2 linked regions of the Saccharomyces cerevisiae S288C genome follow. The protein of the gene in region 1 interacts with the protein of each later gene in a biochemical or structural test. Each region holds a gene or a part of one and is shown in the gene's direction. Other genes may lie near its edges.

Evidence for each region.
Region 2: the proteins of CBP3 (region 1) and CBP6 are reported together in a solved structure, tested with the Saccharomyces cerevisiae proteins (one study listed by BioGRID).

What each region holds. Positions count from the first base shown.
Region 1 is NC_001148.4:141,408-148,923, forward strand, and holds CBP3 (Cbp3p), read left to right. Parts: upstream 1-6,008; coding exon 6,009-7,016; downstream 7,017-7,516. Other genes in the region: GTPase BMS1, read right to left, coding at 1-1,764; YPL216W (uncharacterized protein), read left to right, coding at 2,414-5,722; THI6 (bifunctional hydroxyethylthiazole kinase/thiamine-phosphate diphosphorylase), read right to left, coding at 7,162-7,516. UniProt on the Saccharomyces cerevisiae protein: Chaperone required for the assembly of ubiquinol-cytochrome c reductase of the mitochondrial respiratory chain.
Region 2 is NC_001134.8:479,935-483,805, reverse strand, and holds CBP6 (Cbp6p), read left to right. Parts: upstream 1-2,882; coding exon 2,883-3,371; downstream 3,372-3,871. Other genes in the region: GRS1 (glycine--tRNA ligase), read left to right, coding at 439-2,442; MUD1 (Mud1p), read right to left, coding at 3,483-3,871. UniProt on the Saccharomyces cerevisiae protein: This protein is involved in processing of the 5' terminus and the intervening sequences of cytochrome b pre-mRNA.

The sequences.
Region 1 (7,516 bases):
GAAGTCATCATCAACATCTTCTTCAATGTCACTTTCGTCTTTACTATCGTCGTCCTCGCCCCTCCACCTTCTTATACATTCTTCAGGTGAAATGTTGTCCATGTATATCAGCTTACCGATATTCCAGGTCCTTTTCTTACTTTCAGTTTTCTTCAGCTTGTTTGCCGCTGTTCTTTCCCAGGAAAACTCATCTTCACTCTCTTCAAATTCAGAATCTGTTTCCAAAGCTAATTTTTCGGCACCCTGCTCACCGGTATTATTGAAATCGATTTCAACCATCCTTGGTTCGGAGTCCTGCACGTCGTCATCATTTGTATAAGGTTCTTCATCACTCGGTAAATTATCAATATCTGCGTCTTCTTCTTGAACTGGCTTACCATAAATTCTTGGTTTTCTTAAACTGGTTCTTCCCTTGCTCTTTCCTTCATCGTCCTCAATACTTTCTTCTCCACTTTCAACATCCATGCCTTCATGATCGGCAACTTCATGAAGCTCAGTGCCGTTGCTAAACAATTGCAAACCCACACCATCAAATTTCTCTGCAATACTTTGTTCAACACTTTGTAAACCCGTCATGAGTTTTTCTCCTTCACCTCTTTCTTGGCCGGGAACAAAACTTGGCTCTTCATTTTTCTTTCCAATATCAATATAAACAGCATCCTTATCCATCAACACACCTCCGACATCGGACATTGGAGCATATATCAATTTATCTTTATCATCTAACCTTTTACGTCTTCTTGTCGTAGAGGCAGTTGTAATTTCTCCGTTAGCCTTTGCCTCTTCTTTCATTTTTTCACGTTCAAAATCATCCAGTTTCTGTTGGTAAAAAGGTGTGGGACATGGATCTGGTAATTTTTCAATTTGTGCTACTGAGAAATCACCAACACCAGCAATATGCACCCTAGTGCCCGGAGCAGAAGGCAAAGGAGTACCGTGCAAATAACCATAGATAGCGACTTTGCGGTCGATTTGCAGTCCTTGAGTCTCTATTAATTCCGGATGAGTTAAATCTGTGAATCTGTCAGCCAACATATAGGGATGTTCGTTCCTCCATTTTAATGGTCTGAATTTCATAACAGATATAAATCGTGAAAGGTTTAAAATCTCTCTATCAGGATACCTTCCATTAATCACACCAGATAGGTAAAATAATTTTGCACCTTGATAAACTTCCGTCCAGAATCTGTGCTTTAATCTTTTCTTAGAAGCTCTCAAAGTTGACTGAGATTTAAACAGATCAAGATGTGTAGCTACACCAAGTACTCTTGGCATACCGTGATGTTGAGCAATATTTAAGAATTCCATTGTTTCCATTTCAAAACCGAAATTACCGTCAATTAGTAAAAGAACCAAGTCGGCAATCTTAGCAATATCAATCATCGCATTCAGATCGTCCGCAGGGCACTCCAAAAAAGTTAGTCTTCTATGTTTACCAGAGACAACAGTAATAGGACCTTGAATATCATTCAAAGTGCTTTTTGTCATTCTCCTGACGAGGGACCGAATCAAAGTAGTCTTTCCTGTTCCAGGTGGACCCACGACAGCGACGATAAATGGAGGCGGATCATCTTCAGGGGTACGATCAACCATAGGAACATGCAGTTTTCTTTCGTTCACATCACTTGACCTTTGCATAGTTCTCGCCATCTTACCTGGGGCTGCCACGGCAAAGGCCTTTGCATTATGACCCTGCGTATGGAGCTTCTTTTTTGCTGTATTCTTCTCCTTCGCCTTACGGTGCTGTTTATTAGACTGCTCCATCGTTTCAGATAACTCAGATGGCTGATTAAAGGCTACTATTATGTGATATTTTTACCTTAACAGCGCAAATACTTTCCTTAATTTTGAAGCTTCACTTCAGCTCATCGCCTTGAAAATTTTTCATTTGTACGGACATTAAACTTAGGCGATAACAAAAAAAAAACTTCATCTAGATAATCTCAACTTTGAAATTACAGAAATATTTACAACAGTAGTACGAGTATCTGCACTATGGCTCACATGTCCTTAAAATAATCTAAGCTTACCTATCTGATATTTGTTTTGATATTGTTTAGGACCAGCAGTTTCTGAGAGTTTAGCAAATGCACCTTTACAGCTATCCTCAACTTTTGGAAGAGAAAGTGACAAGATATGTAACAATACTTGCATGAATCGACATTTGTTTACTTTGGTCCATTTTGTATATGATAGTGTGATTTAGCGATATGGAATTATGTGTATTTTTCTATTTGTTGTCATTTCAATATGGGATGACTTGTTTTCTTGTAACGCGCCACTTCAATAGTAAACATTATGAACCTGATAAATGTTAGCAGACTTAGTAAGAGAGACAATCATTTTCATTCAGTAAAAATCGCAATCCCTAGTTTGGCTCTTCTTCTAGCCGTACTTTAAATTCAAAGCAAAAATGGTTCTGCTTAACAGAAGGAAAATACAACCTAAGGAAATAGGACAGTCTGCTGATTCCTTCTCTGAAACTCCATGGGTGATTAAAGAAAGTAGCGAGCGTATAAATGATTATGACAGTGATTTAAAAAAGCTAGATTTTTACAAAAGGGATATATTCACCTGTGAGATTAGTGGAAAAGATGGCCTTTCGTATTTCAAGGCGTTAAAAAGCGAAGAACAGCACCGTGAAAAGGTCAGATATCTTTTACCAAAAGAACTAAGGAAGGCTATAGCAAATTTCGCAAACTTCAGTCCGATAAGGAAGGTAGGACACCTTGTAGAAAGCGCATTTCAGCGTTTTAGTAACCGTTTCTTTATAGGCGATACGGTGTGCTTGAAAACTATCCAAAAAAATGCATTGATTACCTATAAAGAAGGAGAGCCTAACTTGGTAGAATCACCAACTATTGAAAACAATGTCACGTTGTTCCTTGTCAAGGATGTGTTTCAATCTAACGGGATGATGGAAAGTGAAAAGGGAGAAATTTCTGCCCCAAAATTGTCACTGTATTTAATCACAGAATGCCTGAATCGAGAATCTAAAGGTGCGGCCCTAATTGTAGGCCAGAATGAAATTAAAAGGCCAGAATCACACTTTTCTAAATTCATAATTGCGTGTTTTCTTAATGAAATACTCATAAAAGTATCGAATAAGGAGCACGCACCATGGAGGGTGAAACAAGAATATATAGAAAGATATGATGTAAACCCTAAATGCTCTCCTAATATGATTGATTATTTGCCGGATAGAATGAACTCATCTTCTTCCGAGCTTTACACTCCTCTTACTATACCACCAGAGAGCGATGTTGAACCTGCTGACTGGAAGGAAACGTCGGAAACGTCGGAAACGTCGGAAACGTCACTATCTAAAATAAAAGCAATTGACGACGAGATTTCAGTCTCATTTGACCACATTTACGATAATGTGAACTCCCTTGCCTACAATGATTTGAAGGGAACCGTCGACGACAAGGAGCTTCCATTCACTGGGCCTTCGATACCATTTGAAAATATCAGCTACTTAGATAGCTCCTTAGAATATAAGAATATCGATCAAAAATGGTTCAAAGAGTGCAGTCAATTTCCAACGGAACGACTATTGGTTGTTTATCAATTCCTGAGCTTTTTTGGACGTTTTATTGGTCTATCACATTTTAATTTTGATCAGTTCCTTACTACTATCAAGTGTACTAGTCCGGAGGCTTTAGTAGATGAATATGTCAAAATAAACTTTCTTAAAACTTACAACAGCAAAGGGAGTTTCACAAATGAGAAGCCAAGAAACGAAATATATAATCAAGTGACCAGTAGTAACGTATCCCAGCGTGAGAAGGCTAACGTCTTTAATGCAGATGAGAGTCAACGAATACCTAGCAATTTCACCAGAAACCAGAAAATGAGGAAATTTATAACGGATAAAAGTACTGAATTTGTAATGTATTCCATTTTTAAAGGGAAGCCTCTAAAAAATGACGATATGGAGTTTCAATCGTACGAAAAAGTGAATATACTTTACATTGATATAGTTTGCTCGTTAATGTGTCTGATGACGGATAATGAACCTGATTGGAATTGTAATCTGATGGACAATTGGACTGAAGAAAAGCGAAAGGAGGAAGGAAATAAAACAGAAATTGATATAGCTATAGAAAAGTGTTTGAACTATGGAGATACTAGCTGGGTTAAACTTTTGCACAATAAAAACTTTAGCAACGGCAATTGGTTGATCTGTCTCCTTGGAATCTTGCAACAGAATACACATATGATAGCATATAGTGATGTCGCAAAATGTATCACAAAAAAAATACTACCTTTATCCATGAATTTTGTAAATTTAGGTGATGAGCTCTGGGATAACTTTCGCAAGAGATTATCTATAAAAGATAAAATTGATGTTTTATGGGTTCTCGTAGATTTTGCGTCCAATTTCTCGAGTTATATTAAGGAGTTGGTAGATAAAGTACCAAAACTGTGCAATGGAATCCGCTTAAAGTTGGATAGTGCAAAAAAAGAGTATATCAAATTGAAACGGCAACTAAAAACGTTAACCAAAAATCGCGTGAAGCTTCACAGCAACGTTTCAATGAACCGATATGGATCAGATGAATGTAAAGGTAAGGTCAATGCCCTTAAAGTGAAAATTGCATACTTAATGGAAGATATCGCCTTCCTAGAGGCAAAATTGATTCAGAGCGATATCAAGAGACTAGAGATTTTGGGTAAAGATAGAAATGGAAATCGATATTATTGGATGGACTCAAATGGATCGTCATCAGCCATCAGTGAAAAAAATGAGGAACTTTACAACTGCTGTTTTTTGTGGGTTCAAGGACCCTCTGAAGCGGATATAAACTTTTGCTTAGATGTCGACGTCGAATCTTTGAAAAAATGGGAGTTGTTAGCTAAAGCAAAAGGTACTGCCTACGCGACAAAAGAAGTCTTTTCAATATTTAGGTCGACAGACGGGTCTTACTATCAAATTGCTCAAGGTGAGAATTTCATGATAATTAATTCAAACGGTATCTTAATGAGGCCAACTATTCCGGCATTCATAGACAAAAAAATTATATCAGAAACTCCAGAAAAGCTCCTACTCTCTCATCATCAATGGGCTTTCTTCAACGATATAGAAGATATACATATGTTAGTAGATAGGTTGGATGATTTAAGAGAAAATGAGGGACAATTGAAGAAAGCTTTGACATCCAAAATGGACCGTATTGAAGTATCATACAAGCAACAGTTCAAAATTAAAAGGCGTATTGAATGTGATGAAACCTTCAAAAAAAATCACAAACTTTTGAAAAATAACGAGTTCACGTTTCCTGAACTGAAAAGAATTGAGACAACTTGTACATCCAACGGCCAACATTTTTCCAACATGGAGAAAATTTCCAAAAAACTATCAAGGACAAAGAATGATCTCGTTTTGGAAGCGATTTTAAAAGACGTAGCTCACCTTGGAGAATGTGAAAGAGCACTTCTCAAAAAGCAACAAAATTTGATTTATCCTTTGAATTTTCATTTCGAACAATTGAGGACGATAGACCTCGAATTTATAGTTGAAACGAAAAGAAAAAGGCAAGAGGATATTCTTACGAAGCTTTTAAATCATCAGAGGTATAAGCATATTAGTCATGTTTCAGGCTATGGGATAAGTTCTCAACGAGTAGATAAAGCTGCACATCTTGATGTGCAGGGTATATTAGAGGAGATTGAATGTCAACTTATTTCAAGACGACGAGAGGATGAAGAACGCAACTAGAAACAACTCTGCAGTTCAAATCACTCTTCCTGTATACGCCTTAGAAAGATATTAGAAATATCTTTTACTATTTAATCTTCACCATTCATTATTCCTCGTATATAAATTGGCCCATTTCAGGGCGTCTGACTGGAGTTGTATTTAGGCTTTACCCGGCGTTCTTCTGAATTTATAGCCAGCAAGGAAAACAACGTCAAAATTGGTCCTCGACTGACGCATTAGTAAGATTAATATTTAGCAAACACTATGATCTCCGTAACAATCTCTTCAGCTATTCCAACACTTGATGATGTCAGTCAATAGATTTACTTCAGGTCGACTCCCTGTTTTCCTTAGAAAGTCCCCTTTTTACTACTCGAGAGCTTATTTGCATCAAACATGTGTTTTCAAGCAAAATAAAGAAACTGCACAAGATTCGCCAGAGCTTTTAGCAAAAAGCTCACATCTGAATTCGAAACCACTAGATGTAAGCAATAAAGCACCAGTGAAAACTGCTCAGAATAAAATTCCTCTAGCTCATAGTAAATATGAATCGTCAAAGTACGAACTTCCCAAATGGAAAGAAGCCTTGGGTGAACTAGTAATTCGAGCATTTCATTTAGATATGGATAGAGTGAGGGCAGGGCCCGTTGCAGGATCTTACTATTATAAAATTTGTAAAGAGCAAGGTTTACAATACGAGGACGAGCCATTATCAGAAACTGCTAAATACTTTTACGAGGATTTGAAGCTACCACGTACTTTTTCACAATGGTTTCAAATCACTGTATTGCACGAGTGGATACTTTTTGTACGTATGAGAGCCATGCCTTTCAAATACGGCAGAAACTATCAGCAGAAATTGGTAGATAGAACATTTTCTGACATTGAGCTGAGATTATTCGAGGAAATGAAAGTTAATTCTGGTAGAATCGCAGATCAATATTTGAAAGATTTCAATACGCAATTAAGAGGAGCGATATTTGCATATGATGAAGGATTTGCTACAGATGATGGTACACTTGCGACAGCTGTCTGGAGAAATCTTTTTGGTGGAAGAAAGAACATTGATATGGTTCATTTAGAGTCTGTTGTGAGATACATTTATTCTCAACTATATGTTCTAAGCAGGTTATCAGACAGAGAGTTTGCCACAGGTAAATTCAAGTTTGTTCCTCCTGGGGTGAAGGTCGAAAAACTGACACCAAAGCAAGAGGAAGAGTTGAAGGCCAAGACCATTGCAAAATATGAAGCTCTAGACAAGGATCCTAAAACCTTACCAAGCGAGAGAAGTAGGCTGTCATATACAAACTAAACGAGCTAGTTTGTAACTTCAAAACTTATGAAAACACTTATTTATTCTTCAGATACTATCCGCACAAATTCCTTAAGTTTTTTCCAATTTTTTGGGCTTTCTTCCTTATTTAATCAGTTTATAAAATCATTACGTTGTAAATAGTTTATTTGAATTTCTTCAAAGAAGCGGACCACTTTTCTGGTTTATTTTCATGGAATAATTGATATAATGCGTCAATCAATTCGACATGGAATGAACCACTTCCTTGACAACGGGTGGAAGCCAACTTACCAGCTGATTTGTATAATAGGACAGCACCAACCACAGCATCAAACAGTTTTCCAGTGGAATCTAACCCACCGATAAAGGAAGCAATTGTAGAACCAAGTGAACATCCACTTGCAGTGATGTCACCCATGATAGGAATTGGGCCATCTTCAATTATTACACATGGAAGATCTTCAGCGGTTATTCCTTCTGTTCCTGATGAAAGTTTGTATTCGCCTCCAAAAGTACCA
Region 2 (3,871 bases), on another chromosome or scaffold:
GAACGCTTGGTTTGGCGCTATCGCGATAGATTAAGTGCAACAAGACACACATTTACAAACATAATATGAACCAGATATGATTCATGGATTATCGAGGCAAATGGTCTGTGAATGAAGCTCACTTACGCTGCAATAAGCAGCAACGGCATTGTAGTGATCATTTTCTACGCCTCGTAATATTTCAGCGCAGTGGAAAAAAATTGAAAATTTTTACTCTTCTCGAGTGTTGAATCACTGCTGCGATACTTATCACGTACTTTGTATACATAATTTTACTTGCAATTAGGACTCGAAATCTGTTCAATTACTTTTGAGGATTTCTTTTATTTTAGTTTCCCTTTTTGCATTCGTGTTGATTTTCAAGAAAAATTGTCGTTCTTCAATATCAGTAGACGATTTTACTCTCAGATTGTTAAAAAATCGGTTAAGATTAAAAGAATGAGTGTAGAAGATATCAAGAAGGCTAGAGCCGCTGTTCCATTTAACAGAGAACAGCTAGAAAGTGTTTTGAGAGGAAGATTTTTTTATGCCCCAGCTTTTGACTTGTACGGTGGGGTTTCTGGTTTATATGACTATGGTCCACCAGGTTGTGCATTCCAAAACAACATCATTGACGCCTGGAGAAAGCATTTTATTTTGGAAGAAGATATGTTGGAAGTTGATTGTACTATGTTAACTCCATATGAGGTTTTGAAGACCTCAGGTCATGTTGACAAATTTTCTGATTGGATGTGTAGAGATTTGAAGACTGGTGAGATTTTCAGAGCTGACCATTTAGTCGAAGAAGTTTTGGAAGCTCGCTTAAAGGGTGACCAAGAAGCCAGAGGTTTAGTCGAGGATGCTAATGCCGCTGCTAAGGACGATGCCGAAAAGAAGAAGAGAAAGAAAAAAGTTAAACAAATTAAAGCAGTCAAATTGGATGACGACGTTGTCAAAGAATATGAAGAAATTTTGGCTAAAATAGATGGTTATTCCGGCCCAGAATTAGGTGAATTGATGGAAAAATACGATATCGGTAACCCAGTCACCGGAGAAACTTTAGAATCTCCAAGGGCTTTTAACCTGATGTTTGAAACGGCTATTGGCCCATCTGGTCAATTAAAGGGTTACTTGAGGCCAGAAACTGCCCAAGGTCAATTCTTGAATTTTAACAAGTTGTTAGAATTTAACAACAGTAAGACCCCTTTTGCCTCAGCCTCTATCGGTAAATCATTTAGAAATGAGATTTCCCCAAGGGCCGGTTTATTAAGAGTCCGTGAATTTTTGATGGCAGAGATTGAACATTTCGTTGACCCATTGGACAAATCTCATCCAAAATTTAATGAAATCAAAGACATCAAGCTTTCCTTTTTGCCTCGTGATGTTCAAGAAGCTGGTTCTACTGAACCAATTGTCAAGACAGTTGGTGAAGCAGTTGCTTCAAGAATGGTCGATAATGAAACTTTGGGTTACTTTATTGCCAGAATTTACCAATTTTTGATGAAAATTGGTGTTGATGAGTCCAAATTGAGATTCCGTCAACATATGGCTAATGAAATGGCACATTATGCTGCTGACTGTTGGGATGGTGAATTGAAGACATCTTACGGGTGGATTGAATGTGTCGGATGTGCTGATAGATCTGCCTATGATTTGACCGTTCATTCCAAAAAGACCAAAGAAAAATTGGTTGTTAGACAAAAATTAGATAATCCAATTGAAGTCACCAAGTGGGAAATTGATTTGACGAAAAAATTGTTCGGTCCAAAATTCAGAAAAGATGCACCAAAAGTTGAATCTCATCTATTGAATATGTCTCAAGATGACTTGGCTTCCAAGGCTGAGTTATTGAAGGCAAATGGCAAGTTTACTATAAAGGTTGATGGTGTTGATGGCGAAGTCGAGTTGGACGATAAATTGGTTAAAATCGAACAAAGAACAAAGGTTGAACACGTTAGAGAATATGTTCCTAGTGTCATTGAACCATCTTTCGGTATTGGCCGTATCATCTACTCCGTTTTTGAGCACTCTTTCTGGAACAGACCAGAAGACAATGCCAGAAGTGTTCTTTCCTTCCCACCTTTGGTTGCTCCAACAAAGGTTCTTTTAGTTCCTTTATCTAACCACAAAGATTTAGTTCCTGTTACTACTGAAGTCGCCAAAATCTTAAGAAAGTCTCAAATCCCATTTAAGATTGATGATTCTGGAGTTTCCATTGGTAAAAGATATGCCCGTAATGACGAATTAGGTACTCCATTCGGTGTCACCATTGACTTTGAATCTGCCAAAGACCATTCTGTCACTTTGAGAGAAAGAGATTCCACCAAGCAAGTTAGAGGTTCCGTCGAAAATGTCATCAAGGCTATCCGCGATATCACTTACAATGGTGCTTCTTGGGAAGAAGGTACCAAGGATTTGACTCCTTTTATTGCCCAAGCTGAAGCTGAAGCTGAAACTGACTAAATAAATGACTTAATTTTAACTATATATCGCCAAACATGTAAATTAAAAAAAGAAGCGAGAAGTATATACATGTGTGTATGAATAAATAATTCGTTTACTATTGATACGTATTGCAAGATATGATTATGTACTGTCCACTAATACGATTATTTTGGAAGTTTATAAAAGAAGTGCGGAAATCACATCTGCTGTTTATTTAGCCATTCCTCACACTAATAGTTAAAGTACTTTCATAGCAGCTCTGCGCATGGTCGGACATGCGAAAAATTCTGATATCAAGAAAAAGCGAAATATTTCCGGCCTTGTAGGGGCCAAAACATTAACGTATATCAAGATTTCCTGTGGTAGCAACATTATAAGAAAAAAAGGTAGCCTTCATTGAAACATTCTCTCTATCAGCTTACCAAGTTAAACTCCGTATTCCACAAGCAAGTGCCAAAATGTCTTCTTCCCAGGTCGTCAGGGATTCTGCCAAAAAATTAGTTAATTTACTGGAAAAATATCCAAAGGATCGTATACACCACTTGGTCTCATTCAGGGATGTACAAATAGCAAGATTTAGACGTGTAGCGGGTCTGCCAAATGTAGATGACAAAGGAAAATCTATAAAAGAGAAAAAACCCTCATTAGATGAAATAAAAAGTATAATTAACAGAACTTCCGGTCCATTAGGACTGAATAAGGAGATGTTAACCAAAATTCAAAATAAAATGGTAGATGAGAAATTCACGGAAGAAAGCATCAACGAGCAAATTCGTGCCTTGAGCACTATAATGAATAATAAATTCAGAAACTATTACGATATTGGCGATAAGCTCTATAAACCTGCAGGAAATCCCCAATATTATCAACGGTTAATAAATGCCGTTGACGGTAAGAAAAAGGAAAGCTTATTTACTGCAATGAGAACTGTATTATTTGGTAAATAAAGAGCACATTATTTTCTAAGCTTGTAAATACATATTTATTCATAATGGAGAACGTTATTCAAATTTATCTGTGAATTTCTTTACTCGAGGTATACTTCCGCAAAGGAAATTCTACTTAGCAAATCCTATGGTAACGTCATTGTTTTGTAGCTTGTAAGTGGAGCCTAACTGATTCTTGATTTTCGTAGCATCAGCAACGGTCTCGTATTCCACGAAAGCTAGGTTACGAACGCTAACTAATCTGATTTCAACTAAAGCCTCATTGCCAAGTATTTGCGACAATAATTGCTCGGTAGTGCCGCTTGGCAAATTTTGTATAAGAAGGACTTTGTTCGGTGGATTTTCCATTGTATTGGACACTTTAGCCCGCTTAAGAGGTTTCTGCGATTGTTTTAGATTTTCTTGCTGAGACTTCATGTTTTCCAATCTACGGGTTTCAAATTCTTTTACAATCCTATCAATCTCAGCCTCCTCTACCTTTCTTGATCTCAGCTTATGCT